Linked DNA regions of Notamacropus eugenii. The protein of the gene in region 1 purifies or fractionates together with the protein of each later gene. This does not show direct contact. Links are inferred from orthologs where the notes say so. Each region holds a gene or a part of one and is shown in the gene's direction. Other genes may lie near its edges.

The links.
Region 2: the proteins of WDR76 (region 1) and HELLS purify together in Homo sapiens (affinity purification with mass spectrometry; 4 studies listed by BioGRID and IntAct, counting the BioPlex papers as one, with this or other methods). This does not show direct contact. The link is inferred for Notamacropus eugenii from reciprocal best matches to the Homo sapiens genes WDR76 and HELLS.
Region 3: the proteins of WDR76 (region 1) and CAMK2D purify together in Homo sapiens (affinity purification with mass spectrometry; 3 studies listed by BioGRID and IntAct, counting the BioPlex papers as one, with this or other methods). This does not show direct contact. The link is inferred for Notamacropus eugenii from reciprocal best matches to the Homo sapiens genes WDR76 and CAMK2D.
Region 4: the proteins of WDR76 (region 1) and NUMA1 purify together in Homo sapiens (affinity purification with mass spectrometry; 3 studies listed by BioGRID and IntAct, with this or other methods). This does not show direct contact. The link is inferred for Notamacropus eugenii from reciprocal best matches to the Homo sapiens genes WDR76 and NUMA1.

The regions. Positions count from the first base shown.
Region 1 is NC_092878.1:54,056,150-54,063,000, reverse strand, and holds the start of WDR76 (WD repeat-containing protein 76), read left to right. Parts: upstream 1-3,830; 5' UTR 3,831-4,414; coding exon 4,415-4,441; intron 4,442-4,882; coding exon 4,883-5,257; intron 5,258-6,851. UniProt on the Homo sapiens protein: Specifically binds 5-hydroxymethylcytosine (5hmC), suggesting that it acts as a specific reader of 5hmC.
Region 2 is NC_092872.1:211,200,914-211,208,140, forward strand, and holds the start of HELLS (lymphoid-specific helicase), read left to right. Parts: upstream 1-4,224; 5' UTR 4,225-4,844; coding exon 4,845-4,875; intron 4,876-5,250; coding exon 5,251-5,375; intron 5,376-7,227. UniProt on the Homo sapiens protein: Plays an essential role in normal development and survival. Involved in regulation of the expansion or survival of lymphoid cells. Required for de novo or maintenance DNA methylation. May control silencing of the imprinted CDKN1C gene through DNA methylation.
Region 3 is NC_092878.1:115,955,013-115,962,985, forward strand, and holds the start of CAMK2D (calcium/calmodulin-dependent protein kinase type II subunit delta), read left to right. Parts: upstream 1-4,959; 5' UTR 4,960-4,980; coding exon 4,981-5,228; intron 5,229-6,652; coding exon 6,653-6,736; intron 6,737-7,973. UniProt on the Homo sapiens protein: Calcium/calmodulin-dependent protein kinase involved in the regulation of Ca(2+) homeostatis and excitation-contraction coupling (ECC) in heart by targeting ion channels, transporters and accessory proteins involved in Ca(2+) influx into the myocyte, Ca(2+) release from the sarcoplasmic reticulum (SR), SR Ca(2+) uptake and Na(+) and K(+) channel transport.
Region 4 is NC_092876.1:96,760,683-96,768,208, reverse strand, and holds the start of NUMA1 (nuclear mitotic apparatus protein 1), read left to right. Parts: upstream 1-4,521; 5' UTR 4,522-4,655; intron 4,656-7,526. UniProt on the Homo sapiens protein: Microtubule (MT)-binding protein that plays a role in the formation and maintenance of the spindle poles and the alignement and the segregation of chromosomes during mitotic cell division.

The DNA.
Region 1 (6,851 bases):
GGGACGGCTGGGTTGTGAGCCTCGGCCCTGCCACCGGCACTCCAGATCAGAGGATCCAGGGCGGAAGGGACCCCGAAGGTGGGCTGAGGCTCAGGAGCAGCCTTTAGTAGGGGGTGAGAGCCTCCGTGGAGGGTGCGAGCGAGGGTGGCCCGGGAGCTCCTGGATTTAACTGGTTTGAATGTTTGCAGCTTTTCAAGTTCCTTGATTGACTGTTGTAGCTTTTTACTTTCACTTAATATTTTATCTGATTTTATCCCACCCCTTTACCATGAAAGTCAGGGCCTCTTCCCACCCTTTCACCACAAATCTCTACATTCCCACCAGGGGGTCCCCGGGTGTTGAGAAATAGGTTGGAGGGAGGCAGGGGAGGCCTCTGGGCCCCAAATGCCGTCTTCTCGGTCCAGCTGGAGCCTATTGTGTTCCTTCCGTCCGTTTGCACTGCGGTCCATAAGCCCGTAGTTACTGCGCATCTGTTGTTGGGGAGCGCCGGAAGGGGGTGCAAAGAAGTGAAGGAAAATCTAGCTTTCTGGCATCTAAGAGAAGTAAATAATGCAGATTTGTGAATGGATTGTGTTCTTTTGGAATAAAGGACTCAGCTTAGCTGATGAGAAAGGGTATTCCAGGTACCCTCGAGCTGGAGGTGAGCAGTAGAGTGCCGTGGGGCGGCAGTAGGGGCAGTTTAAAAACTGGTAATTGTTTTAGCCTTGGATTATAACCAGATCTTCTATCTTTAAATGTAAAGGCTGCTGAACACAGAGTTTGATTGCTTTGTTGATACACAATAGCTGACCTTGTGATTCTAGAAGGTTTTTTAATCATGCATAAAACATACGCTTTTAGACCCAGACAAACCAGTAAATAAAACCACCTGTTGTTGGCCTGTTGTTTAGATTAGAGGACTGGGAGAGAAGGATATTTTTCCCGTTTCAGAAATCGTTCTCAGCTGTACTTCAAAATCAGGACTAATCAGAAGGTAGATATGACGTTTAGGGAATGTAATGTGGAATAGATCTGAGACGAATTTTTGCTAGTCTGCCTTCTAGTTTTCCCAGCAATTTTTGGCTAAATAATGTATGTTTTCTGCTTTGTCAGAGTTACTGAATTCTACAGTGTCCTACTGAAGTTTTATCATTTTTTTTACCATTTCAGGCAATATAATGGTTATAAGGAATATGACTGTAGCTGGAAGAGAACTCCCTCATTTTATAAATGAGGAACATGAGGCTTAGAGGGGAAGTGAATTGCCCAAGAGCACACTGCACAAAAAACATTTCCAGGTTTTTTGATTTGTCCATTTTTTATCATTAGGGATTTTGAACATCTTTTCATGTAGTTCTTAACCTGTATTTTTTTTCAAAAATTGTTTATGACCTGTTGACACTAATAAAGTATCAAGGGAAATTTATTGCAGCAGAGTTCAGAGGAATTGAACACGTTGGCCAAAGCGGGCCTCCTTCCTCTTTTGGGGAGGAGTGAGTGTCAGATACATAAGTGAGATTGGCTTTATACTGTTAGCTCAGGACAGATCATCCCATCAAGAGACGGATTGGTCCATTGTCCATTAGGTCATGATCTTCTCTAAATGCCCATTACATAAGCACCCCTGGTGAGATCCCCCCTCCCACACATTCTTTAACATAGGACCCATGATCAGAAAATGGAGGGATAATATTATGCCGAGAGTGTCTGTTTATATACTTGAGGTTCATTAAGCAAACTCAGTGAAGAAAAGCCTTCTCCTGGTAACTCTAGGTCATTTTTCCCTGACTAGTTCCAGCTAACTGTAGATTTGAAACTTTGTAATTTTCTGAAGGCCACTGTCTGTCTCTTGATTGGTTGAGTCCACCTACAGTCAGCTAGGCTTATTATCTGAATTCTCACTGACTTCATCAACTAATAATAACTTCTGTGGAAACTTAACTTTTGCTGTCTCTTACATGACCTGTGGCCATTCCTCATTGGGGAGTGTAAATTAATTTTATAGCTGTCTATCAGTTCTTTATATGTTCTGGAAGATAAATCTTTATCAGATACATTACAAATCTGTTTTCCTCACTCTTTTTATTTTAGACTAGATATTTTTTAGTTTCTTGTGCAAAGTTTTTATTCTTGCATATTCAAACCCACTGAACTTTGTCTACTAATTTCTTCCCCTTTTTTTGTTTTTTAAAAAAAGTTTTTTTTTTCCATTATTGGAACAAATATTTCTTTTCCTTGCAATTTTTAAAATAATTTATAAGAATACTTAGATCACATTTTCTGTTTGCTTAACAGGTTTATCAAAGCTTTTTTCTTCTCATTAGATATTAACACTGTTGACTACCACCTTTTGGATACCACTTTCTTGGTTTTTCCACTTCTTTCACTGTCTCTTTCTCCTCTTTGTGGTATTGCCTATTTTTATATTTTTGGCCCTCTCTCATTTCTATACTATTTCCCTTGGCAATTTGATTAATCCCACCACTTCAGCTTCCACTTACTGAGATAACTCATCTGACTCCTCTTCTATGTCCAGATCTGTATCTCCTTCTGTCTACAGAATACCTCTACCTAATTTTCCATTGACACTTGAAACTCAATATATCTAAACCTGAGCTGTTACCAAAATACAATTGTTTACTATAAACATTTTTTAAAAGCCAATTACTTTTTTACTGTGCCTTACTCAGACCAAACCTGGACTATTACCTGTGGTTTTGGGGCATCAAAACACATTATACTGCACAAAACTGTACATAATTTCAGGGAGGACATTGATAAGCTGATCCAGTAGAGGTAGAACAACATGGTGAAGGGCCTCGATTTCATGTGTCCACTTGAAAGTTTGGTTAAAAGACCCAAACAGGCTAGGTGATATAGAAATTCATATTGTTTATTTCCTTAGCTAGCAGATACATGCATACACAGAGCCAAAACATGATTTCTGACTGATAAAAGAATGACCAGCCTTAAACAGGTTTTAGAGCAATCTCAACTCAGCATGTCTATGTCTCTCGAATTTATGATCTCCATATATGTTTAACCATAGTATGAGAAAAGGAATTTTCTTAATTGAATAGGTTGTAAATACAATAAGATAAGAGAGTTGACAAAGTGTCGATTGAAATTACAACCCAGGATATCTGTTTTCTTTACCATTAACATGATATAACACAGTATATGTTCATAAAATATTAAGATAAGAGAAAGTCCCTTTATTCTAGGTAGTGTCTGCTTAAGGCCCGCTGTCCTTGGTAGGCATTAATAGAAGAATGCTCAGGTCAGCTCTTGTTGACACGGAGGCGTTCTCAGCGTTTACTTAGATCTGTTGCTTCTTCTGGTTGATTAGTTGAGGCTCTGGCCCTTGAGGTTCCAATGATATTACATTATTATCACGTTATATGAAGGCCTGTTGAAGGATGTTTCACCTGGAGAGGTAAAAGGACAGCCACACTTTGAGTTCTTGTGACTTTTTTGAGTGGGTTGTTACAGCCATGTTCATAATTCTCAATCATTTCTAAAAGAAAACAGTCTTATTCTTCACTTTGGAGGGCAGAAATAGGAGTGATGAGCAGATGTTGCAGAGGCCAATTTAGCTTGGTGTTTAGTTAGAGCTACCCCAAAGTGTAACGGCTGCCTTGGACCATTGAGTTTCCTCCAAGGGCAGACTTTCAGGCAGAGGCCAACTGGCCATTTGTCGGTTGTGTTGAAGAAGGAATCATTTCTCAGGTGCCATTTGGACCAGGAGGACACTGAGGTCCCTTTCAACTCTGAGAATCTGCAGTTCTGCACTGACAGGCTCATCTTTATATGCTGTTTTAAGGTTTTCAAAGCGTGACAACCCAGTGACAAAGGGGAGGGCGCTTCCATTTGGATGAGACGTAAACCAAGGTCCTGTAAGATTGCCTAAGACACAAAGGGACGAAGTGCACAAGCCGAGCTCTTAATGTCGCTTTGCGGGACCAGACCCGCACACCCTCTCACTGCCCAGGCAGGGTTTGCCGTGGCGGAGGGCGCCCTAGCCCCCTCCGCATTGGCTCTGTCCAGTGGCAGGTGTGTAGAGCCCAGGACCGGGATCCGGAAGATTGCTCTGTCTGAGGTCGGATCTGAGCTCAGCCCCGTTAGCCCTGAGAACCTGGGCGAGTCACTTAACCTTCTTGGTCTTGGAGAAGGAAATGGCCCAGCACTCGGGTAACTTAGCCAAGTGATCCCACATGGCATGACGAAGGGACTGAAGGCGATGTGACCACTACCACCGGTTCTCTCCAGGCAGCGCCTGGTTTAGCTTCCGCCTCCCGGTTCCGCCTCCCGGTCCCGCCCACCGGCCGGGCCGGGCCTCCTCCGCCCGAGCACCGGCCTTCTCTGTCCCCGCCCTGGCGGGCTGCCTTCTCTTGGCGGGCGCTCTTGGCGGGAAGGCAGCTGGAGCTGGGAGAGAATGGCAGGGTCCGGGGAGCCCCTCCAGGTGCGGGCTTTGGAGGTTGAGAGCAAGTGGGGAGCTGGACTGCACAAGCCTGAGCAGGGGAGTAGGCGGGATCTCCTGGGCTGGGCTGAGGGTGCTGGCCCCTGGTGAGCCTAAGCCTTTTGGAAGGGGAGGAAATGAAGCCCCAGGGTGAACAAGAGACTTGTCCTGGCTTGGCCTCTTGCGCTCTGGACTCCTCTGCTGACATGCAGTTCAGTGTGGGTGCTAATTTCGTGATTTCTTTAAGTCACTCCGGACTTGTTCGGAAACTGGTGGCATACCGGTATTGGAGCCGTGGTGTGGGAGAGAGACAGCTGCGATGAGGGCTGGTTAAACTCCATCTTCTGCGGACCATCAGATACTTAGGGATTACATGGGTCAAGCAGGGGACTTTGTGAGGAAGATCAGATTCTAACACTTTGCGTTTTTTATTGAACTAAACAGGTGAACGAATCTAACTCCGCTCAGAGCATCCCTGGCGTGTCTCTAACACCGCAGCAGACTGTAATTTTACAGAAGCAAGCTCAAGTACTCCTTTTCCCATTTGTTGTCAAAAAGAGCAAACAGGGCCAAATGATGAGCCTTCACAGTCTATCAGAAAATAGTCCTAACGAAGAGAGGCCTAAAGTCAAACGGAAACACAGAGAACTTGGGGCTCCAAAAAGAAAAGCTGTGTTTCCCAAGGAAGAATACAGGCAACAAAGATCAGCTTTGGGTTCTCAGACAGAGCCAAGTGTTGTGATGCCCAGGAATGCTAAATGCAATGAAATGCAAAGCAATCAGGATGGAGATGGTGATGAAAATGAAACAGCTGACATAGTAAGTATCTCAGTTTAAGAATTATCTTGTCAGTTTTACCAATTGACATATAATGAAAATGTTATCTTTTGCTTTCAAAATTTGAAATTTTGGTGAATTTAGTAAGTTATAAGCTTTAAGTGTGACAGAAGCACTGGATTTTGAATCCAAGGACCTAAATTTATACAAATCTGTGTGGCCTTGGTCAAGGTTCTTCATCTCTCTAGTATTCGGTATCCTTATTTATAAAATGGGGCAATTGGTCTAGATGATCTCTAAGACTCCTTTCTACCTCTAAATCCTATGACCCAGAGAAGAGAGCTAAGCTACCTATTTCAGTTAGAGTTAAATTGATAATTTTTTTCTCATACCTTGTTGTCTTGAAATAGCTTTTAATTTTTTTGTGCTGTGGGGAAAGGGATACTTCTGTCACAAGTCACTCACTCACTGTGTAGTGTTGTACAAGTCAACTTGACCCTCTTGATTTCAGTTTGTTCAACTATTAAATAAGGGAAGTGCTGGGCTATATGATCTTTGAAGTTCTTTAAGCTCTAATATTCTTTAGTTCTAACACTGATATTTTTTTCATTTTATACTTGTCGCATATCATTTGAAGAGTAAAAGTTCAGTCATTGCATCCTGAACATCCTTAATATATATTTGTAATGTACGGGAGTCACCATCCTTTAATGCAAAGCGTAAAGGAAAGAAAAATTGATACTGGTTGTACTGATGCTGAACTTAAAACATCTGTTTAGCAGAGATGGCACTTTCAAAGAGTTCTACTTATATTCTCATTTGATCCTCACAAAACCTCTCTGGGGTAGATACTGTAGGTAGTGTTGTCGTTTATACTTTACAGATGAAGAAGCTGGGTCTCTGGGAAGTTAAATAATTTGCTCAAGCATGGTCACATAGCTAATAGACGACAGAGGCCAGATTTGAATCCAGGTCTCCCCTAATTCCAAGGCTACTTCTTTTCTCAGTATGCCACGTTGCCTCAAAAAACATTTATTATGTGCATACTATTCCAGGCCTTGTGCTTGTGAAAATGTAAAGATAAAATTAGAATCTTCCCTTGAAAAACTTGAATTCTGGTAATGAAGAGATCAAGTAGGGCAAAAATAAATGTTAATCCTTATTGTTTATACTATGTACAGTGTTCTCCTGGTTCTGTTCACTTCACTTTATGTTGGTTCATAGTTTTCTCAGGTTTTTCTGAAACCATCCCCTTCATTTCTTTTTTTTTAAATTTTTTGAAGTTTCATTACATTTTTCCCAATTACATGTAAAAAATTTTTGAACCTTCATTTTTCAGCATTTTGAGTTCCAAATTCTCTCTCTCACCTCCTACCTCTTTGAGAAGGTAACCAATTCGATATCTATTATACATTTGATATCATGCAAAACATTTCCATATTAGCCATGTTGTAAAAGAAAACACACACACAAATAGAGTAAGGAATTTACAGCTTAATAGAAAGGATATGAGCTATCTATATACATTAATACAGCTTAGAAAGATGTATAAGAAAGGTCAAACAGGCATGAAATACTAGCTTGGAAAGGACTCTTCTATTTGGAGTTATTAGGGAGGCCCTCATGGGTGAGGTAA
Region 2 (7,227 bases), on another chromosome or scaffold:
TTTTTTGCCAAATTTTTCTTGCTTAGCATTACCCCAGGCCTTTGGTCCTAAAGGACTTGCAGTATCGGCAACTGCAGTAGCATAATGTCATAGCCTATGAGCCATTTGTACACAGTTCATATGTCAATGTGTAAGATAGCTACTTTATTAAAATTTTCTTTTAGATGGAAAATGTTTTATTATGTCATCATAATGTGAAGTTTAATACAGTATTATTTCACTTGTATACTTATGCAAAGTAACTTTTTAAAAAAGTTGGCAGCATAATATTTTCTTACTTCCATTTCCTTTTATATTAGGCAGCATCCCTCCAGTTTACTGCCGGGTATTCTTACTCTAAATGCTGCTAGAAGGCACCAAGGTCTTGAATTCATAGCAGCTTCCATTGAGAGCAAGTTGCACATCTCTCAGATCCTCTTGGTGTATATGCCCATGGTCAAATGCTTTTAAATGATTAGTTTGGTACTGAACTCTGAGGAGATAATCCAGCATTAGCAAGAAGACACTGAAATTTCTGAAGTCCCAGTAGCTTTGAATTGGTGTTACTTTTCTCTGTTTCAGTTCACTTTCAGTATAGCTGCACATGTGTATTTCAAAACTGTGATCCCAGATAATTTTTGGTTAACATTATACTGCATTGTAATTTTTTTGGTAGCAACAAATATAATTGTTTCTTATCTTGCTAAGTTTGCTATTAAAATTAATTTGCATTCCATAAGAGAACACATCAACTGACAAGAACAAATTGGAAATAAAACAGCCCTAAAGTCTGTGGTACAGGGAAATCAGTCTGGAATTTTAAATTTGCTGGTGGATAATCTACCCTTTTGATAATTAAGAGCTGTATCTGTGTGGCATAAATGGCATATTTTAATTTACTATCAAGCCATTACCAGGGTTTAATAAAAAGCTGTCATAGATTCCCAAATGTAATAAACCTTTATTAAATTGGACTTCACTGGATATTTGTGAAAATTTGAATAGATATGATTTGTCTTTTAATTGTCTAGGAAAGGAAGAATTTAAACAAAACCTTAAAGAAATTCAGCTACTTGGGAGAAAGTGTTTTTAGAATGCTTTTAGAAGCATTCATTAACATGTAATTGCAAGGTGGCAGGGCCCACCAGTACTTAGGTAATGTTTTAATATGCTAATTATAAATCTTTGTTTATTTGTTAAAAACAATGCTTCCTTCATGCCACACTTTTTTAGGTTTCTTGCATGTCCTAGAAATAAGTAAAATTTCATTTCTTTGAATATAACATTTCTATATTTTATTAATTCAGATTAGTCTTCCTGTAATTAATCTCACTTGGTGAGGTTTTACTATATGCTGCAGGCTGAATTTATCTTATTGTGACCATTCTTAAGGAAATCATCTTTTTGCTGCATTAAAAAACCTTTTCATTTGTTGACATTAAGAAAAATGGAAACTTTCATGGTTTTATTAAGTGATTTTTGTACAATTACAATGTATTTGGAAGTCAATTTTGTAATAAACATGTTATGATAAAATTGATACAGCCTTGATAGTAAATGTAAAAAATAGAGACAAGAATTGTCCGTGTTCTCATTTTACAACTTATATTTAAAGCTTTATTATACTGATTATATTTATATAACCCTCTATGTGGTTTTCAAATTTTTTCTGTAGCTATTAAATTTGATTATTGGGATCACCCTGTTAAGTAGGCAAAGATTATCACTCCCGTTTTAAAAAATAAGGAAAATCAGTTTCAGAAAAGTAGTAAATGACAGCAGATTCTGGACTGTGACCCAGGTCTCCTGACTCAGCGTTCATTTAATGCTCTAATCATCTCTGATCTCCCTTTAAATTGAGGTTAAGGAAGTTTTGGGCAGGAGGAACTGCACAAGCAGGTGGATGATTGAGGGATCAGGTTTCCTTTAAAAAGCTGGTTAGAGATGGAATAAAGTAACTGGAGAGATTTCTGTTGTTTATATATATAGCACACAGAGCACATTCATCAGTAAACCTTTAGATAATATATGGCCACCAACAATTATGATAACTTGAGTTTTATTTATTAAGGCCACAGAGTGGGTACATATAATGGGCTGAAACATAAATTATTGCAGGAGCATTCTGTGATAGTTTGTCTCCTCTCACTCTTCCCTAGGGAATCCTCTGCAGTTTGGCGGCTGACCTCAACTGAAACCCCCCTCCCCAAAGTTACCGAACGTTTTCTTAAATGCCAAATCTAATGGCTTTTCCTTGATCCCTTGCTTGACCTCTTCTCAGCTTTTGACCCGGTTTACCACCCTCTCCTCGACACTGCTCTCTCCTGATTCTCTGACCTGCCTGATCTTAGTCTCTGTAACTTGGTCTTCAGAATTTTTTTCTCTCATTCTCCACAGTCATTCATTTGCCAGATCTTGTCCTTTCTATTTCTACATCTCCTATATCCCCTCATCACTCCCATAACTACCATTTTCCTTAAGACTTTGATCACCTCTTTCCTGGACTTGCAGTAACTTCCTATCAGGTCTCCCTCAAGCATAATCATTCCTCATCTCAAACTCTTAGTGACTAGTTCAGCTCTCCTCTCAGACTTTTGAATCTTTTGCTCTGTTGTCCCATTTCACCTCACTGCTTGTCAAACCCCAGCCCTGAATTCTTCTGCCATCTGCCTCCTCCTCTCTACTCCTCATGCTGCTGAATGAGTGAAGGAGGAAGTTCCTCCTGAGGATCAACAGACTCCATATGGAATATTCCTGTGTCCCCTAGTTATCCAAAACTTGGAGAAAACAGAACTCATCTTCCAGACTTGCCTGTTACTGTTGAGGACTCTACCATTCTTCTGGCCACCCCAGTTCTCACCCTCAGTGTTTTTCTTGATTCTTCACTCCCGGCCCACATCCCCGGTCATTTCCACAACGTTCGTTACCCCGTCTTCTCTGTGCTTCCACGTGGCCAGCTCTCTATGTCAGGCCCTCATGAACTCTTACCTGACCATTGCGAAACTGTTCTGATGGGCTTCGCTGCCTTGTCTCTCACCCCTCGTTTTCTCATCTATACGACTGCAGTAACGATTATCCCGAAGCACGGAGCTGATCGTGTCTCTCGGCTCCCAAAACTCCAGGGGCTCTCTGCCTCCAGGACCAGATAGAAACTTTGACATTTCAAGTTCTTACAGCCTGGTCCCATAAACTAACTTAAGTCTAATTATACTTCGTTCCCTGGATTCTGCAATCCAGTCATACTGCCCTTCTCTCAGTTCTGAACACATGATGCTCTGTGCCCTTCCTTCGGTCCCCAAGACTGGAATGCTTTTTGGTGCCCTTGGTTTCTTTTGAGACCAGCATGCAAATGCACAGCCTTTTATGATCCCCCCAAAGATATCTTAGATTCAATTCAATACATATTCTGTATATACTGATGTGGGAAACCAGGAAGAAATTCTGCTTCCACAGGTTAAAATTCCCAGTGTTAAGGGATCAGAGTTGTGATCTAGCACCCTCGGGTGAAAGGTCAACTTGATGAGCTTTGTGAAGGAAAGCCTTCCAGACAGGAGAACGTGAAGTCACCTGGCCAACGGAAGGTGTGGCGAGAAGTCCGGGATTCGGAGCAGTATAAAAGGGCTTGCGTTGGTCTGAACACACGGTAGCTTTCCTGTGGCCTTCCTCGGGAGCTAGCCCTTATGAACGTAGAAGGCTCTCCCTCCTCCTGAACAAGAGTTCAGTGCCTCTGATACGTTTTCCTCAGTATCCAGCCCGTTTCTGTCACCGATGGGCGCACGTGCTGCCTCCCCGCCGGAGGGCGCCTACCTGGGCGCAGGCATCGTTTTGCTTTTTCTTCTGCCCAGCACAGGGCCTGGCACGTACCAGCTGCTTCATAAGCAGTTCTGATTGTTCACTACATAAGTAACCGACACAACCAAGTAACGCGGGGGAGAGAGAAAGCGAGCGCCAGGTGAGGCGCTAGGGAAGACATCTAAGAAGGAAGCTGGTCCCTGGGGATGCAGACGGGGCGTGGCAAAAACGCACCGTCTACGGGCAGGGCCCGGTCACGGCTGCGGAAGCGCGGGGGAGGGAGGAAGGCCGCCCGTCGTGTCTCCTCAGAGACCTGCGCGCGCAGCGGGGGGCGGAGGAGGTACTCAGCAGGCAGTGAGAAAGGAAAGCTAAAAATACTTTACAAGATTCCAAAATTAAGGGGGACAAAAAGAACCGCTGGCTGCTCCCGGCTCAGGCGGGGCGGCCCCCGGCAGTCCGCGCTCACGCGGTAGAGGGGTAAAACCTCCGCACGTGCGCACCCGCGAGCTTCTAGGCCCGCCCCCTCCTCCTCCCAGGCCCCGCGTGCGGCGGAAGCTGATCCCCCCCTCTTCTGAGGCGCAGCAGCGGGGAGGGCGTGGTGGGAGGTCGGGCTGTGGCTCTGAGGAGGGGCTCCCGTGTCCGGGGCTAGCGCCCTCTTGAGGCATCGGGTGCTTCAAGAAAAACAGATCAAAAACGCCTTCCCCTATACTCTCTCTTCTTGTTTGAATGAATTCCCGGTGGTCAGAACCGTCTGCCTGAAGCTCCAGTCAGACTGAAACTAAACCTGCAGAGAGGCGGCAGCGCACCGGACCCTGTGAAGGAGGAGGGAAGAGAGCGAACGGGAAACCCCGCGAGACTGGGGGCGGAGACGGGGAGGGGATAACGAGGAGGGGGCGGGGACTTGGGAAGGAGAAGCGCGCGGTTTTTCCCGAGAGTCTCGAGAGAGGACCGAGCCTCGCGAGACTCAATAGGGGGTTGGGCGAAAATTGGCGCGCGGGTTTGCAGGCTGCTCCGGAGGTCCGTCAGGGAAGCGCGGCGGCTACCGTCACCTTGTTCGCCCGTGTGCCCAGGCTATGCCTCCCGAGCGCCTGCACCAGAGCGACGGTGAGGCGCCCTCGGCCCTGGGGCGGGAGAGTCGGGGGGCCTGAGGAGAGGCGACTGAGGGGGAAGCGAAGCGGTCGGCGTAGCCCTTGGGGGGAGGGCCGGCCCCGCGCGGCCTTTCCCGCGAGAACGAAGCTTCCCTGCTGGTGTTTGATGGGCTTGTGCTTCTGCCGGAGGCGGGGGCCCCAGCCTCCTCCCTGCTCTGGGCGGGCTCGCCCCCGCCCCCGCCAGCTAAGTCTTTCTTGTCTTCCCGCTGACGCCCCCGAGCGATCCTGACCGGGCCGGGGCCGCACGTCCGGGTGGGGGTCCGCCGCCGGCTCGGCGGGGCAGCATCCGCACCTGGTACCAAAAACCATTTTTCTCCTCCATTGAACGCAGGGCTCGTGGCGGCAGAGATGGATCAGCCACAGGACGACACCCCGGTGATCACCCCAGCCATGCTGGAGGAGGAAAAACAACTGGAAGCCGTCGCCATGGAGAGAGAGCGGAAAATGCTGGAGAAGGTACCGCCCTCACCCCCCCCCCCCCAGTGGCTGCTGAATTAAAAAAAGAGAGCATGTGTTTAAAACGGCCTAGCTTTTTTCCACGCTGAAAATCATTTTTTTTCTTTTTGGAAATTTTGGCTATCTAGCTTAGTGGCAATAACGTACTAATTTATTTCAAACTTACTTTAGATGTCAATAGTGTAAGCACTGTGAACAACAATACATAACTTGTATTTTTAAGAAATTCATTTGGAAAGTTTTTAAAAAGCATTTTAGTAGCTCATGGTTCCTGTGCATTTTCTTTTAAAAATTTGTGGATTTTTCTAAAAAAACAGCCATCGTGATGCCTATGAACATTTTAACCGTTTCTTAGAATCACCTTTACACATCTGTCAACTAATTGATCTTGAGAACATAAAACACTAAGTTCAGAATATGTCTTTCTCTGTTTATTACAGACCTGAAGAAAGCTAAGCTTTTAGCATTTCTACCTATTTTGATTTCTCATTTCTCAATTTGGAATAAATTGATATAAAAGAGAGAAGGTTAGTGATCTGTGAAATCCCTTCTGGCTCTCCATTCATATTCTGATCCTAAATAAAAAACATACACTTAAGTGAAATTTCTTTAGTACTTGATGCTCCCTCCTGCAATGCAGATTATGATCCTTTCACGCTTTTTTCATGAAGTGTTGTGGCCAAAAAATAATCCTATCCATATATGAAACTTGACCAGTGCTTACCTGCCAAAGATTTCATTCCACTAACATAGCCTTTGAGAATCCAGAGCCCAATTCCATGCCACAGACAGACATAGAAATAGGACTTTAATTGACAGCAACTAAAACTGATGACTTAAAAATTGTATTCCAGCTTTGAGTACTGTCTGAAGTGTATACACAATGTGTTCATTCATTGTTGTGACTTTGAGGTGATGTGCAAACATTTCTTGGTTAATTAAGTCACCTTTAGTGCTGATTAGGGAGGCATATGACTAAAAGAGGAGGGGAGGCAGGTCAGGTAGTAAGCAGACAGTTTGTGTGCTTCTTTAGTATCCAGGCAGTGTTAAGAAATCTGTAGAAAACCTCTAGCCCATTGCACCTGCTTGGAAGGTGTGGATCTGTTACTACATTCGGAATCATTGTATAGAGCAGCAAGATTAATGAAATCACAGATACATAGAAATGTACAGAGATTATCATGAGATATTATGAGATAACTATATCCTGTATGAATCTTATTTTCGACACATAAAACAATTACCCGGATTATCATTTTTCTCTTTAACTTTTTTATTCCTCATCCTCGAAGAGGTTGTATTTAGGACTAGCAGGACCCTCGTTGTGTTATGGTCCTTTGTTAATATGATTACCCAATACAGAAAGGAAATACATTATAGCTTACAACGTTGAAGGAAGGCATTGTGTTGTGGTTTGAATCCTTGCTCTGACATTTATCTATAATGGCTACGTATTGCTTGAGCCCTCTGGGCCTGAGTTATTCCATATATGAGAGAATTAGTCTAGGTGGCCCCTGAGGTTCATTCTAGCTCTAGATCTATGCTAAGTGCATAGTATGGTATAATAATTACTTGTCCAGTAGTATGTAATGCAGTTACTAATCCTGCTCCAGCAACTTTAAAATGTGGTGGATTGAAGGGGAAGGAAATAAACATGTATGTAAGACCTTTTTGATTTTTACAAATTTTCTCAGTTGATTCTCAGAACAACTCTGGGAGGTAAGTGCTGTTATTATTTTCCATTTGAGGAAACTGAGGCCAGCAGGTTAAGTGACTTGCCTAGGGTCACACTGTTTAAGTGACCAAGGCTGGATTGATACTTCACTTTACCATTTTAATTTTTATTGGCTTG
Region 3 (7,973 bases), about 62 Mb from region 1:
TTTTTTCATACAGTAGAGGAGGAATATTAAATGAGGAAACTGAGGCATAAATAACTTGACTAAAGTTACACCAAGTTAGAGGCAAAGTGAATAGAGTGTTAGGCCTGGAGTCTGGAAAGACTTGAGTTCAAATACAGACTCAGATACTATGTGACCTTGGACAAGTCATTAATCTCTGCCTCAGGTTCCTCACCTATAAAAAAGGAATAATAATAGTGTCTTCTTCCCAGAGGTGTTATGAGGATCAAATGAGATAATATTTAACCTTAAAGTGCTACATAAATACTAGCTATAATATTTATAATAACAACTATTTTTAATTACTATTTAAATGACAAGCAACAGAAGTAGAATTCTAACTAGGGCCAATGCTCTCTCCATTGAACCATACTGATGAATATTACTAATGTGGGCAAGGTCTTTTAACGTTTTAAAACTTCAGTTCCTTTATCTTTAAAATAAGGGGGTTGGACTAGATGCTGTTAAAGGCTCCTTCTAACTTTAGATCTATGAACCTACTTAATTCGACTCAAGGTCCAGCATTCTATCTACTGCACCACCTAGATGCTTCTCTTAGCTGTCTGAGAAACTCTAAGGTTGTGGTTGTGGTAAAGATAGTAGGTAGAGAGGGACTTTTTGGACTCAGGACTTCTGTTTACCAATGAAACCACAAGTCTTCAAAATAATTCCATAGAGAGAATCAAAAGTAACCCAGAAAAAGGAGAATTCAAACCTTGGTATAGAAATCTATCAAATACAGTGTCTAGTGTGAGGGCCACATTCCCAGGGAACCCACTAATTCTGGAGCTCACAAGTCTATCCCTATTGTATCGTACTATAACCTTTCCTCAAATATTGCCCTAACCCTCATCCTCCACTCCAACCCTCTACTCCCAAATCTAGATCACTTGATCATCACTTTTTCCATTTTATAAATCTGATAATACTAATCTTTACTGTATCTTTGTCCTGGTTTAAAGAAGCCAAGAATCACTGGGCAACTTAGACTCCATTTCAATTAAATTCTTGATCTCACCAATTAAGATCCTGACCAGAGTGCTTACTGTACCAAGAAGATTAAACAGCCAAGGAAACATTCCATCTTTTGTTTTGACAATTCAGGTAGGCCTAAAATAATTGTGAGTAAGTGCATGATATAGAAGTTAGAAGATCAGCCTTGGAGTTAGGAAGGCCTAGATGAAATCCCAACTCTTCTACATCTGTGACGATGGGCAAACCACTTATCCTCTCAGCATCCCCAGACAACTAGGTGTCAAAGAAGGGTGCTGGATCTGGAGTCAGGAAGACTAGAGTTCAAATTCTAGCCTTAGACACTTACTGACTGTGTGACCTTGGGCAAGCCACTTAATCTCTGTCTGCCCATTTCCTCAAATGTAAAATGACAATTATTAGATCCCCTACCTCCCAGGGTTGTTGAGAGGATGAAATAAAATAATATTTGTAAAGCATTTAGCACAGGGCTTGGCAAATAGTAGGCTCTTAAAAAATGTTTACTCTCTTTCTCTCCTTCCCAGGCAATTTTCTAAGGCTGTAAGTTAGAGATGGGCTGTGGACCAGCATCAGAGAAGAGTGTTTCCTGTCACACTGATGAAGTCAAGTTTAAAAAAAAAAGTGTGATGATTCCACATCATTAGACTTCTAAACTGAAGTGAGATGTCACCTCTGTGACATTTTCCTTTATCTCATTTTATGTGATTTTTCTTTTTTTTTTTTTGCATTTCATCTTCCATTTTTAATTGAAGTAGGACTACGAACTGCTTTGATTATTTACTGTAGTTTATATGTCTCCAGAAGTTATTTGCAATATTTGTTTAGTGGACTGAATCTTTTTTTTTTAATTAAACTAGAACAAAGAACTCCCCTAGTAGTATTACTTGGATGTTTTATGGGACCTTGAATGCCATGCCAATGGAACATAAGTTCTCAAACACGAAAAAGTTCCATGTGGTGCCCTAGTGAAAGAAATGGTACAAAAGACATTATCAAGGACATGTATGATGGGCAAAGGAAACCTACCACTCATGGAACAAGTGATATAACACATGCACAGACTAAGTATTACATTTTAATACACAGACGAGTAAAGGAGACAGAGAAAGATCTTTAGCAAGGGGGATAGATAACCCATGAATGATTCATGGAAGAATATAGACAGTAACACAGGATGAGACAGCAGGGATAGGCTGCAATTTGTACCATTGAAGGGGAGTACCTTCAATAATGAGGTCAAAGATTCATTTAAATATCAGAATTAAGCAATCAGCAAACACTAATCAAGGGCCTTTTATATGCATGGAATGGTGCTGAAACCTAAGGATAAAAAGACAAAAATGAAACATCCCAAAATACGGATTACGGGATAGGATGAATTTGCCTAGATCAGGAGTGGGGAACCTTCAGTCTCCGGCCACATGTGGCCCTTTAGGTCCTCAAGTGCAGTCCTTGGATTGAATCCAAACTTCTCAGGACAAATCCCCTTAATAAAAGGATTTGTTATGTAAAACTTGGACTTAGTCAGAAGGCCACATCCAAGGACCTAGAGGGTCACACATGGCTTCAAGGCCAAAGGTTCCTCACCCCTGGCTTAGACTGACGTGATATGGACATTGTTTATGCTTTCCTACTCTCCTGGTATGGCATAATTAAAACTTGTTTGTCTTTTATAGTGCAATACAAACCTCATAGTGTTAAAATTGCTGAAATTTAAGGAGTTGAGAAAAATGATGTCATTGTGTAGGTTTCATAAATTGTATACTTTTTAAAAATTACATTTCTTGATTGTTATAAGGCCTTACAAACATTCCTCTTAATTATTGCTTTCAAACTTTTTTGTTTTTAACTAATGTTTCATTAAGTGATATAGGCTCTTTTCTTAACTAAAATATTTAAAATATTTTACTTGAATTAGTTTGTATGACTGGCTGATTTCATTTCACATCCTAAATATTGACTTAATTCCCTTCATCTTCTTTACTTTTAATCATGTTTTCATTTCTTAGCATTACATTTTAATGCAGTGACTTTACATTTGATTTTTTCAGCATGGAATGTACAGCACAAACTATTTTATGGGTATGGGGATTTGTTTGAAGTGGGAGTCTTTATATTTTGAAAAATGAATGGCATTTGGTGTACTGAGTTGGAACACCAAATTGTTAGGCAAACCAATTCAAACACTGTTTATTCAGTAGTGCCAGTTATTAGAAAGGCACGGTGCTCATTACTGGGAATACAGAAACGAAACAGTCACTGCTCTCAAGAACCTTACAGCATTGCAGTGGAGATCCACCATGTGCAGAAATAAATGTAATACAAAGTTGAGTGTGATGGGGGCAAGGAAGCCAGCTGGACAGTAGTCTAAGAAAGACGAAGATGTTAAAAACATGGTATGAAGAAGACTATTTTCTCTTGCATTTTGTTTTGTTTTGGTTTTTCTCATGGTTTCTCCCATTCATTTTAATTCTTCTATGTAACTTAACTAATGGGAAAATGTGTTTAATAAGAATGTAAATGTAGAACCCATATAAGATTGCAAGCCATCTTGGGAGGGAGGAAGAGAAATTTAAGACTTATGGAAGTGATCATTGAAAACTGAAAACAAATAAATTAATTAAAAAAACACTATAAAGTAGAAGCAGGGTGGCATCTGAGTTTTGTCTTAGTCAATCAATTCATCAGCAAGCATTTATGAAGCACCACTTGGTTTGGGTTAGGCACCTTTGCTAAGGATCTCTCCTGTTCAAAGGAACAGGAGTATTGGAATGAGTAGTGAACCAGAAGAGATTGCCTTCTAGGTATGGATGATCGCTTTACAAATGGGAAGAGATGGGGAAGAGTTTAGGTCATCCAGCTTAGCTTGAACAATGTCTGAAAGGGAATCACATAAAATAAGGCTGAAAAGATAAACTGTAATCAGACTATGAAGGTGTATAAATGTTGTAATAATTAAAGTTGTACCCTTCAAGAAGTCCCTGAAGATTTTGGAACATGACATAATCAAACATGTTTCAGTCATGAGGATGATAACAGTAGCATTTTTATAACACTTTAAGGTTTGCAAAATGTATTATTCCAACTGTTGTGATATCATTGTGATACAGGAGAGCAATGGATTGGGATTTTCTTGTTTAGACAGCTAAGTTTCTGTGGGTAAAACATTTCACCTCTTCTGGCCTCAGTCTGCAAAAGATCTCTTTACAGCTATAACATTTTATGATTGAGAAGTCCACAGTTACGTTCACAGTATGGAGTTACGGTGGGAGGTGGTTGTGGTTGACAATTTTTCCTGAATCTGGGCTGAAGTAACAAAAGGGACTCGTTTACAAAATGACCACTAACCTTTTGTTTTTTTTTTCTCATTCCCTTTGAATTTGCAATTGCCATACTTATTATGGAGTTAAAAGAACTAGAAAGGGAAACCCAGAAGTCATTTCGTTCAGTTTGTCATGCTATCCACTGGACTTAAATTGCAGCTACTGTGCTAATGATTGTTTTGCATAAATTAAATAGCTCATATATAGGCATCAACGTCTTCATTTGCATGTAGACTAAGCCAGAATGTGGCAATGCCCCATCGCACGTATTGGTATCCATGCATCTCAACTATTCATTTGTGTAATACACGTAAAGGCTGCTATCTCTCCGGACTCTTGAGTACACAAGCACACATAAGCGCCCTACCTTTTTTTTTTCTCCTTTACAAATCGAAACAGGCTGGACAAGTTCATGTGATGCAAATGACGTCAGCCTCCATTGGGTCCCGTGATAGACAGACAACCTTCCCTACTCTACCCCACCCCTCCCCTCTGCCACAAAAACAGACTGATCTCGCGAGAAACCTGCGCTCCCAGCGCCTAGACCTTCCCGGGAGGACAGGGAGAGAAAGGGAAAGGTGCGGCTGAGCGCGGGGTGGCGCGTGAAGTCTTTGTTCACACCTCCGTTTGCAACCCGGGGCCTTTGATGCACGCTCCATTCCCAGGCTTCGCTGTGGGAAGCAGTGGAGGAGGTGCAGGCGTGGTGTCCGCACCTGCACCTTTAAGAGCGGCCGGGGGAGCCTGGAAACGGGGGTCCCCTGGGCTAGCTGAAGAGGGAGAACCCCTTCCTGGCTGGGGCGTGGGAGCCAGCCCGGCTCCGCATCCCGGCCGCTTCTGCATCCGGCCTTGGGCTGGCTCCGAGCTGGAAGCCGGGATGCCAAGGCTCCCCACCGGGTGGGCACCCAAGCACTAGGGTACACAGAGGAGCCGGGTCGTTGGCCCCTGCCCCCGGGGAGATCCCGCCGGGACATGGCTCCTGCTATAGTCCGACTCTGAGGGCGCACGGGAAATCGTGCGGAGCAGCGCGGGGGAGGGGGGCTCGTACCGCTCTGCGCCCCCGGGGAGCTTGGTGCAGGGGGGCTGTGCAGGGCCTCCCCGCGCGGCCGGCGATTCATTCCACCCCCGCCTGGGAGGGTTAAAGGGCTAGCTGGCCGGTTTGGCCAGTTGGCTTTGCCTGGCCGGCCGCTCCCGGGGTGTGGAGACCCTTTCCCTTACTACAAGGCGTATCTGCCTGTCTGTGGGTCTGTCTCTTCAGACCTGTTTGCAGAGACCCTGTTCCTGCGTACCCCTCCTCCTCCTCCTCCCCAGACCATTTCAAACTGTGTGTGTGATCCCGTCTTTTCTAATCTTTTTGCACTCTCTGCCTGGGTATACCCCTCCTTCCCAGCGCGCGCGCGCGCGCACACACACACATACACACACATTGCGTGCTGAGAGGGTTGTGTCGCTAGAGGGAGGTGTGGGACAGAGAAAAGGGGGGCATAGAAGAGGGGGTGGCCCCGCAGTAGCTTGAGGAGGGGCTGGGGGACAGCAGAGACGCTGAGGCTGAACTGTGCTCGCCCTGCTACTGCCCACCCCGGGTGCCCAGCGCGCTCGGTGCCGTGCCTCCTCTCCATTCCCAGAGAGCTGCATAGGTACCCCAGCTGGCCGTCGGCTGTCACCGGCGGGGCGGGGAAGGGGAGGGGAAGCCGGCCAGAGGAGCCGAGCTTCCCATTGCTCTGGCGCTCCTTCGCGCACACCCACCCACCCACCCACCCACTGGAGTGGAGAGACTGAGGCTGCTGACAGCTGCAACTGGACTGGAGTTGTCTCCGTCGGGCTTCTCTTCCTTCCCCTGCCCCCTCCCCACTCCACTCCACCCCCTCTCCACCCTTCCACTCCCTCCCCTCCGCCTTTACTCCTTGTCCCCAGTTCATATCGTTTCGCAACTGCTCGCCTCCTGCCCCGTGGCTGGCTGAGTTTTTTCTCTCTCCACCCCCCACCCCCAATTCCTGGCACCTTTTCTATAATACTTTCCCCCCTCCTCCAATTGGGGAGTGGGGGTGGCAGAGAGGGAGGGTGGAGCGTCCAGAGCCGGAGAAGAAAAAGAAGGAAGCGGGAGCAGAAGGATTGTACGATTGTGGAGAGGGGACCCTACGGCACTCTTTCTTTCCCATTGCACCCTTCCTACCTTCCCTCCCCCCCAAGTCCAGATCCAGCCACTTTTTTGGACGAGAAAAGTGAAGGAAGACGGCTCGGGGGTGATAGCGACACAGGGGCCGGTCCCAGGCAAGCAGCAGCACCTCCCGTCCCGTCTCATCCTCCTCCCTCTTCGACAGGAGCCAGCTCGGACCTATGATGGCCTCAACTACAACCTGCACCAGGTTCACCGACGAGTATCAGCTTTTCGAGGAGCTTGGAAAGTAAGCGTCCTTGCCTGGCGTCTGCGGGTCCCCTTTCCTGCAGAGGGCGAGTCGCGTTACCCCCGACCCAGCAGTCCTTTACCGTTAGGGGGTCGTGGGAGTTTAGAAAAGGGGAGGGGGGAGGGGGAAAAGGCTAGCTTGACAGTTGGGCAAAAGGTACTGATCCTTAGGGTGAGGGCGGGGGAGTAGAAAGGGAAGACCACCAGGCTGTGTCCAAGGCTGATAATCCCACCCACCCTCCTTCCCCACTCCCATTTTGCAAGAGAGCCTTCGTGAATTTATGATCCTTGCAGTTGGAGCTGTCATCCTCTGGAGTGTGTATATATGCTTGTGAAAGGCAGGAAATGAGAACCCATGTAAAATGCAACATAGATCATGTTTTCTGTAAATAGAGATGCCTCCAGGGTTTACCGGCGTGTCTGCTCAGTGATACACGTACGGATGAGAACCTCACTGACACAGACGGTGCCATATTTATTGATGCCGAAAGTTCAAGTTGGCGTTCAGTCTGTTTTGTATCCAGTAGTTCTGTCAAAGAAGACAGCAGCCCAGTGTGACATATATATCTATATATCAAGCACCTACATCTTCAGCTACTGTAGGGAGGGGAAAAACTTTCTGGAATTTTTGTCACACCATTCTTCCCAGGATATAGACAGTCTCCCCTAAGAGGATTAATTTAAATGTGCATGGAGGAAAAAACCTCTCTGGAAAGGGAAGAGTCCTGTTTTGTGTATGTGTGTGTGTTAAAGATTATATATAGATACACACATACACATAGTGACAAAAATACTTGCCAGTTTTAAAGAACAGGGAGAAAGATATAAACAAGGAAACTCATTATAAAGAAATCTAACCTAGAGGCTCAGCCACAGTGTTACAGCATCACCCCCAAATGAAATCTGTTCTCATTCATATCTACAGCTTGATCTATTACTTGGAGAAGGGGTGTGTGCATATGTCTGTTGGTGGCTGATGAAGGCAAATAAAAGGAAATGTAAATTTCATTGTGTAAGTGTATTTATTCTGTATGATACTCTTACACTGAGTGGTACTGCATGCACACACACATCTATATACACACGTACATACACATAAAAGGTCAGAAGAGGCAGTTTAATTAAAAGCCTTTTTTTTAACCAAGGCATAAAGAAATCATCGTGCCAGAATTCATTAACTCACACAAATATGCTCAATATTTATATTTCTCTGAGAACAATTATCATATTTATAGAGT
Region 4 (7,526 bases), on another chromosome or scaffold:
TTATAAATTGAAGGGGTTGGAGGAGATAGCTTCTATAGTCACATCCAGCTCTGTGATCCTTTGGCCTTTGGCCTCTGATTTTGCTCAAGCTGTTCTCCAAGCTCACCTCTACCTCTTAAAATCCCTAGCTTCCCTTAAAGGTCACTTCAAATGCCATTCCTCTGAGGCTTTTGCTAATTCCTCCAGCTGCCAGAGCCTCTCCCATCAAAATTGTCCATATTGGGATAGAATGGCAATAGTAGCTACTTAAATTTATTCAGTTAATCAATGATATAGCATAAGAACCAGAGAAGGTGCTGTTAGAACCAGAAGAAAGCAATGTCAAGCAAACTAAAAGACTATCTTGGAGCAAGTGATAGTGTTGAAAGTTCCAGAAAGGTCAAGAATATGATTGTAGAAAAGGGTATCAGATTTAGTAGCTAAGGATTGTGTGTCATCTGCGAGGAAACAGTTTTAGACCAATAGTGGAGTTTCAGGGCAAGTGCTGGTGTAGGAAGTAGAGGCAACAAGTATAGCATAGCTCTGAAAGAGAAATCCCTCTTTGTCTAGCTTTATGTAATATATTTGCGTGAAGGGGTGAGGGACGGTGGGTTATTGTATGGGGTGTTCAGGAGGACTAGCACCTCTGGTGTGAAGGCTTCTTGAGCCACTTTTCAGGGGCTGCTCATCCATCTTTGATATCCACTTGATTCATCCAGTTTTCACCTGTGGCTCCTGGAAGCTGCAGCATGTGCAGTAACCACACCCCAGTAAAACCAATCAGCAGAGAGACTAAAACAAGCTGAGGGTAACTGACAGATCTTCAACCTGTTGGTGGCTAGGGGAATGTCTACCCCAAGCACGTGAAGACTTTCCCTAGCAGAATGGGCAGATGAGAACAGTTCATTCCAATGGCCAGGATGGTAGCTAAAGCAGGTGCTGTGAAGCAAAAGTCACATGCTGCATTCTGTGCCATGGCCAGTCACCTTGACTTTTGTCCTGCCACTGGACTTTGTGACTCAGGAAGGGAGTGTGAGGCTGATGACTGTGCAACTCTACCTCACTTAAATTGAATTTCATACACAAGTCGAGACACAACCCGTGACTTCACTGGTCCTCTTCAAAAATGGAAGGACAAACAACAATATATGGGGCAGGTGAAAGATTTTTAAGGATGGGGGAGGCTTGGTGACATTTGTTGCTGTTTGTCCTTTGTATTTGAAGATGACCAATGACATAATGGGTGATGCAGGCAGCAGTGAAAGAGCCAGAGAATGATGGAAGAGAAGATGAGCGGATGGGATCAAGAGCACAAATGGAGAAGTTAGCCTTGGGAAGAAACACCACCTTTTTATCAGAGACTGGGGCACTGGGGACACAAATTTTTAAATAGGCAGTGCTTACTGTCAGAGACCTTAAAGTCTAATAAAATTGGGAAGGCTCAGGTATGTACACAAATAAGAACAAAAATGGGATAAGGGCAAATACAAGATGGAGTGCTGTAGGAAAATCTGAAATTGGCAAGAGTGTTCGTTTCAAAGAAATGGCACTGACCTTTTCCTTAAAGGAGAAAGAATATGGTAATATTCTAATATAGTAATAATAAAATATTCTAATAAGAATAGGTGGGCCTCCAAATTCAATACTCAACTAAAACTGATTTCTCCAAGGAAGTGTATTCCAGATAGGGGAGTAAAAGGAAAGAATGGAGAATGATATGGAGGAATTTTAAGGTATATCATAGGACAGGAGAACTTACTATAGATGGATAACTTTGCTTTTTTTCTCACTAAGGTAGGAATTGAAGTCTTCTGAGAGGGGAGGAAAGGGTGTAGTACATAGGAATTTGAACAAAGATGAATCACTTCAAATAATCTTGAGAATCAGAATAAAAAGACTGCAGCTTTGAGGGCCCAGCTGAGATCAGATAACAATGGGGTTGAATCAGCAGTCATTTTGAGTGCCTTCCTCTTTGGGCTGTTGGAAGAGAATTAGAAGATAAGGAGGGTGAGGGTAACACAGGCCTCTGGCACGATCATGAAGGGTAAAAAGAGTCAAGGGTACATACACATTAGTATGCCATTGAAGCGGTCAACTCTAGTACCAGAACAACAAAGGATGGAGGGACTGAAGGGTATGCTGAGGATGAAGGACAGTTTTAGGAATGATGCAAGAGTACCAAGGGTTATGATCAAAGATTCAGTATCCCTATGGATAGCTTTGGCATAAGGATGACCTAGGTCATGTGACTTAAGGTTGATAGGTTGGGAGACCAGGGTGTTTGAGGGGACCTCAATGTAGAAATTGAAATCCCCAAGTATTCAGGGAGGGTTTGGGATGGAGGAGGGAAAGACTGAGCCAAGTACTGAATGTGAGAGGGTGACTATCATACCAAAAGATGAACACCACAGATATAAAATAGGTCTTAAGCCCACTTTACAGATGAAACAAATGCTGAACGATGTTACATGACTTACTTAGCACCACAAAGGTACTCTGTTTGAGACAGGATTTAAGTTCAAGTTTTCCTAACTCCAAGCCTAGCATTCTATTCACTATGCCAGTTAACTACCATTCAGAAGAATGCAATGGGCCTAAAAAGAGGGAGTATTTGCTGAGTAATAACTGCAGATGGAGGGTTTAGAAGTGTCACTGGGGAACCAGGAATATATTTTTTCTTCTGTCCAAGCCTATTAGGAGAAATGAGAGGAGCAAACAGCACCCAAGAAGTAGTGATTCTGTGTCTTCTGGAGACATCTATGTTTCCATGGGCACATGAAGATAGAGTATTAAAGGAAACAGGATAAAGGGAATACCATTAATGATTTAATTGGGCTTTCATAGAGTAAATGAAAGTGGAAAGGGTGTAGGAAGTTGCTTACCCAGTTCCAAAATTTCTAGTTACTTGATATATTAGGTGGCTATTAATGTCTGAGCTGTCTTACCGAAAAGGGGAGAAAATCAAGAAATAGCCTCCATCTGGGCTGGCTGTCTTGCCTCTGTCAGAACCCCCATATTCTCAGATTGAAAGCACCCTTTCCCCCATTTTGGTGGTGGTCTCCTCTTCACCATCCCAATGGTATGGTGCCAAAGTCTGCTTCTAGGAATTTGAAACTCTTAGGCTACAGAAATGGGGAGGGGAGTACCCACCCTCTGTCATGCCTAGCAAGTACCTCAAAAGTCCCTAATTGGTCTCCCTGCCTCCAGTCTCTGGCCTCTCCATTCCATCTTCCACAGAGTTGCCAAACTGATATTCCTAAAGCATAGGTCACTCCTCTGCTCCAGATGCTCCCAAATTGTCACTAAGTTAAAATACAAACTTTTGTTTGATATTTAAAGCCCTTCAAAAACTGGCTCCAGCCTACTTTCCCAGGCTTATTACTTACTCCTTTCAGACACCTTGCCCTCCAGCCAAACTAGCCTTTGTGCCTTTACTCAAGCTGTCCCTGCTCCACCTCACCCCCATGCCTGGTATACATTTTTTTTTTCACCTTTTTAGTCCCTTAGTTCAAGGTTAAAATTCAAATACCTCTTCACTAGGCCAATCTCGATCACTCCCCAATTGACCTTACCGCCCCTGACTTGCCATGCCCCCTCCCCAATTATTTCCCATTTTACTTATCTGTTACTGGAGTTTCTCCGAAAAAGAACGTATTCTCTTTGACTGCTAGAACTTTTTCGTTTTGTCTTTGAACAAAGTGCTTATCCCAGTGCCTGGAATATAGTAGGCACTTCATGTCTGCTGAGTGAATAATAAATGGGGTTCCCAAGCTACCTTCTCCCCGGACTACCTCAGGTTCTTACAGCTTAGCTGTCTCTGCTTTGGGGCCACCTCAGGCCCTTGTAATAGGGCTACCTATGCTTGGCATGACACCTGTATCCGCCTCAGTCCTTGCCCAGTGCGCTCACCAGCTGCTGCCCAAGCTCACCAGCTCCGTTTTCTTCAGCCTTTGCCTTCCCGTAGACAGCGGCACGCTTAGCCCAACTCCATGGTAACCATCATCATCACAGCCTCCCAACCTCTGTACGCCTCGCCCCGGGGCATGCTGGGACCTACAGCCCTCCCCGCCCCTAACCGTGGCCAACGGGAAGAAGGTTTTACTTAGCTGCACAGAATCCTGGGACTTGTAGTTTGCGGTTTTCAAGGTCAGAAACCGAAACTTCAACACAGTCTGGCCTTCTAAAGTTCCTCAGTCCCTACAATCGTCGCTCCTAAATTCTCTGCCCCGACCTCTACCTTTTATCACCCCTTCTCCATTTCCCGCTCTGACCCGGGCCCCTGCCCAATCCCTTAGGGAGCCGCGAGGAATACTGGGATTTGTAGTTCAAGCTTCCCTCCGGCCTGAGGAGATAGAGACTCGATGCTCCCCCCGTCCTGCTCCAGGCTCCCTTCTCCCAAGCAACCTTCCTTCTTTCTCCCGCCCTGCCGGGGCTGTGAGAGTGCGCATGTGTACCATGATGTCTCCTTGGTTTGACCAATGAGGACTCAGCACGAGGGGGCGGCGCTGCAGTTCAAACTGTGGGCTTGGGCGGCGGCGGCGGCGCCGGAGGCTGCCCCAGCAGCTACTAGGAGATGGGGGTGGGGAAGTGGCTGACGGAGTGAGTCCTGAAAGTGGGACCTTCAGCGGGTCCTGGGAGCTGTAGCCCCTAGGAGGGACGCGCGCGTGCGCGGCCAGGTAAGACCAGGAGGGGAGTCGAGGATGCACCCTAGTGTCGGAATGAGGAAATGGAGAGGAGGTGTCGCGGAAGCGGAGGGAGGACGGTGTGAGGGAGCTGCCGAAGGGCGGCGAATGCGGGGTGGGGCGAGCGGAGAGAAAAGAACCTGAGAGGGGAGGGGGCGGCGAGGGAGAGCGGAGCTTTGGGGGCCGCCCCGCGTTGTGGGGGACAGGAGGCGCCTCTCGATGGGGGAGGGGCCCTGAGGGGGGAAGGGTCGGAGAAGTGGTGGGGCCTGCTGAGTGCCCTGCGCTGGCGTGGGCGACCGGGACGGGGAGAGGAGGCGCACCCTGCCCTTAAGAAGCTGGCATGCTGCAGGAGCCGCTGCCAGTGCCGCTCAGAGGACGCGCGGAGCTTCTTTTTCAAAATAAACATGGGCTTGTTTTCTGGGGAAGGAGATCTGGACTTTAAAGGCTATAATAATGCGAGGTGCAAGGAAGGAAGGGGAGCATTCCAGGCTTGGAGGATCTAGACCAAGTCTACACGCTGTTATTAAGCACCTCCTATGTGCCAGGCGCTCGCGGCTGGGTGGCGAAGTGGGTAGATAGAGCCCCAGGCCTGGAGCCCGCGGCGCTCGCCTTCGTGAGTCCAAAGCAGTCCTCAGACATTCCTGGCCGGGTCAGCCTGGGCAGGTCCCTTAACCGGTGTCTCCGTGTTCTCATCCGTAAAACGAGCTGGAGGAGGAAATGGCCCCCGCGCCAGGATCTCTGCCCGGAGAACCCCGAGATGGGGCGACGGAATCGGACACTGCTGAAAGCTGTACCAGCGCAGTGCCCGGGCGAGGACAGTTCTGTGTAGTAAGACAGTACGCCTTTATTACGGGCCTGCGCTGTGCCAGCCCTTGTGCCAAGCCCTGGGAAGGCAGGAAGATCCGTCAGTGATAAACATGAGAGTTTGTATTTGGTTCTAGAGGCAATAAGGAGCCATTGGGAAAAGGAGGCAGAGAGAAGAACTGAGACTTGGAGACACTCCATTTTCTCCGGCTGCCCCCCGTGCCTGGAACGCTTTCCCTCTACTCTGTCTACAGACTTCCCTGGCTTCCTTTCAATCCCCACTCAAATTCCATCTTTTTTGGGGGGGCGGTATTTAGTATTTACTTTTTCCCCAGTTACACGTAAAAAACAAGTATTTTAACATTTGTTTTCAAAATCTTGAGTTCCAAACTCTCCCCTTCTCCGTCTTCCCCCACTCCCAAGGCAAGCAATTCCATAGTAGGTTATACATAAAATCCCATCTTTTATAGGAAGGCTGTCCTAACTCCTCTTAATTCTGGTGCCTTTCCTCTGTTAATTATTTCCTATTTATCCTGTATATAGCTTGCTTTGTTCGTTATTTGTTTGGGTGTGGTCTCCCCCATAAGATTGTAAGATCATTGAAGGCAGACTGTCATTTGCCTCTTTTGGTATTCCCAAGGCTTAGCACAGGGTCTGCTGGCACTTTATAAATGTTGATTGATTGATTGAATTAAGAAGCTAACAGGTCCCTGAAGAGGTGGTGAAGATTTAACTAGAGTGGTTGTGGTGAGTTAGATTTGAAAGCTTGAGGGCAGGGCCTGACCTTTACTTCTTTTTTGTATCCCAGCCAGTGTCTGCCACATAATAGATGCTTAATGAATGTTTGATTAATTGAGTTGAGAAAAGATGTGAAGATAGAAACAATTTTTGTTGTTGTTGTTCTTCAGGACCCCATTTTGGGTTTTCTTTGGCAAAGATAGTGGTGTGGTTTCTAGTATTTAAAGATAGCTCTTGGGCTTCTCACCCTATTTTTCAGCGTCACTCTTAAATTGTGGTTCCCAGGAATAAGTAAACTATTTCAAATGTGACCCAGTTAGGATTGAGTTGGTTAGATTATCACCTTCCTTGTTTTGAGTACTCATCTAGAATTGTGTATAAATTATTTTTTTTAGCAGCTACTCCATGCTGTTCTTAGTAAATTTGTAGAAAAAACTAACACATGGCCTGGCTCGTACTCATGGACCCCTTAACTCTGCAAAGCAGTTAAAGGGGATGGTATTCTGTGTCTCCCTGCAGAATATTATCGACACTGACTTAGGTACAAATGGCAAAAAAATAAATAATAGAAGATTAGCTGTAAAAGGAGGGCACATAGGGAATAATGAGAACTCAAGTTATGCTAATACCCATGAACTAATAAAATACTCATCAAGGGTTATTCACCTAGGATCTGTGAACTTGATTTATTTTTTAAAAGATGTTTTGATAAATATTTCAATACATTTGCTTCCCTTTTCAATTCTATGTGTTTTATTTTGTGCATTTAAAAAATATTATTCTGAGAAGTTGTTCATAGGCTTCACCATCTTATCAAAGTGGTCCATGACATAAAAAAGGTTAAGAACTCATTTGGGTAGATTCTCTGAAGAGGATTTATGGATAAGAATTGCGCAAGAGGAGAGAAGATATGGACGAAGTTGCAGTTTGTTTCCCTATTAGAAGGAACACTGATGAGAGCTAAGAAAGTAAATTTCATCTTATTAGATTTGATCAGTCATTCTCACCTGTCAAAATGTTTTTGGAATTGTGCAGGTGGGTTCAAGCCCTGCATAGGTTCATAGGGACTGCAGGGGGGGGGGGGGGGGCGGGTTATGTTGAGTATTTCATTAGCTTCTCCATTGTGAAACTTAGCCAAATCCTAATTCAAGATGTGTTGTTAATATGTTCAATAAATGGTTGTAAGCATAAAAAAAATGTTTTTGGATTCTGACTCTGTCATCCAGTGTTTTAGCATTCCATTCCAGTTTCCTGACATCTGCAAATTTGATAAACATACCTTCTCTTCCTTTTCCAGGTCATTGATAAAAAAGATGTTAAGTA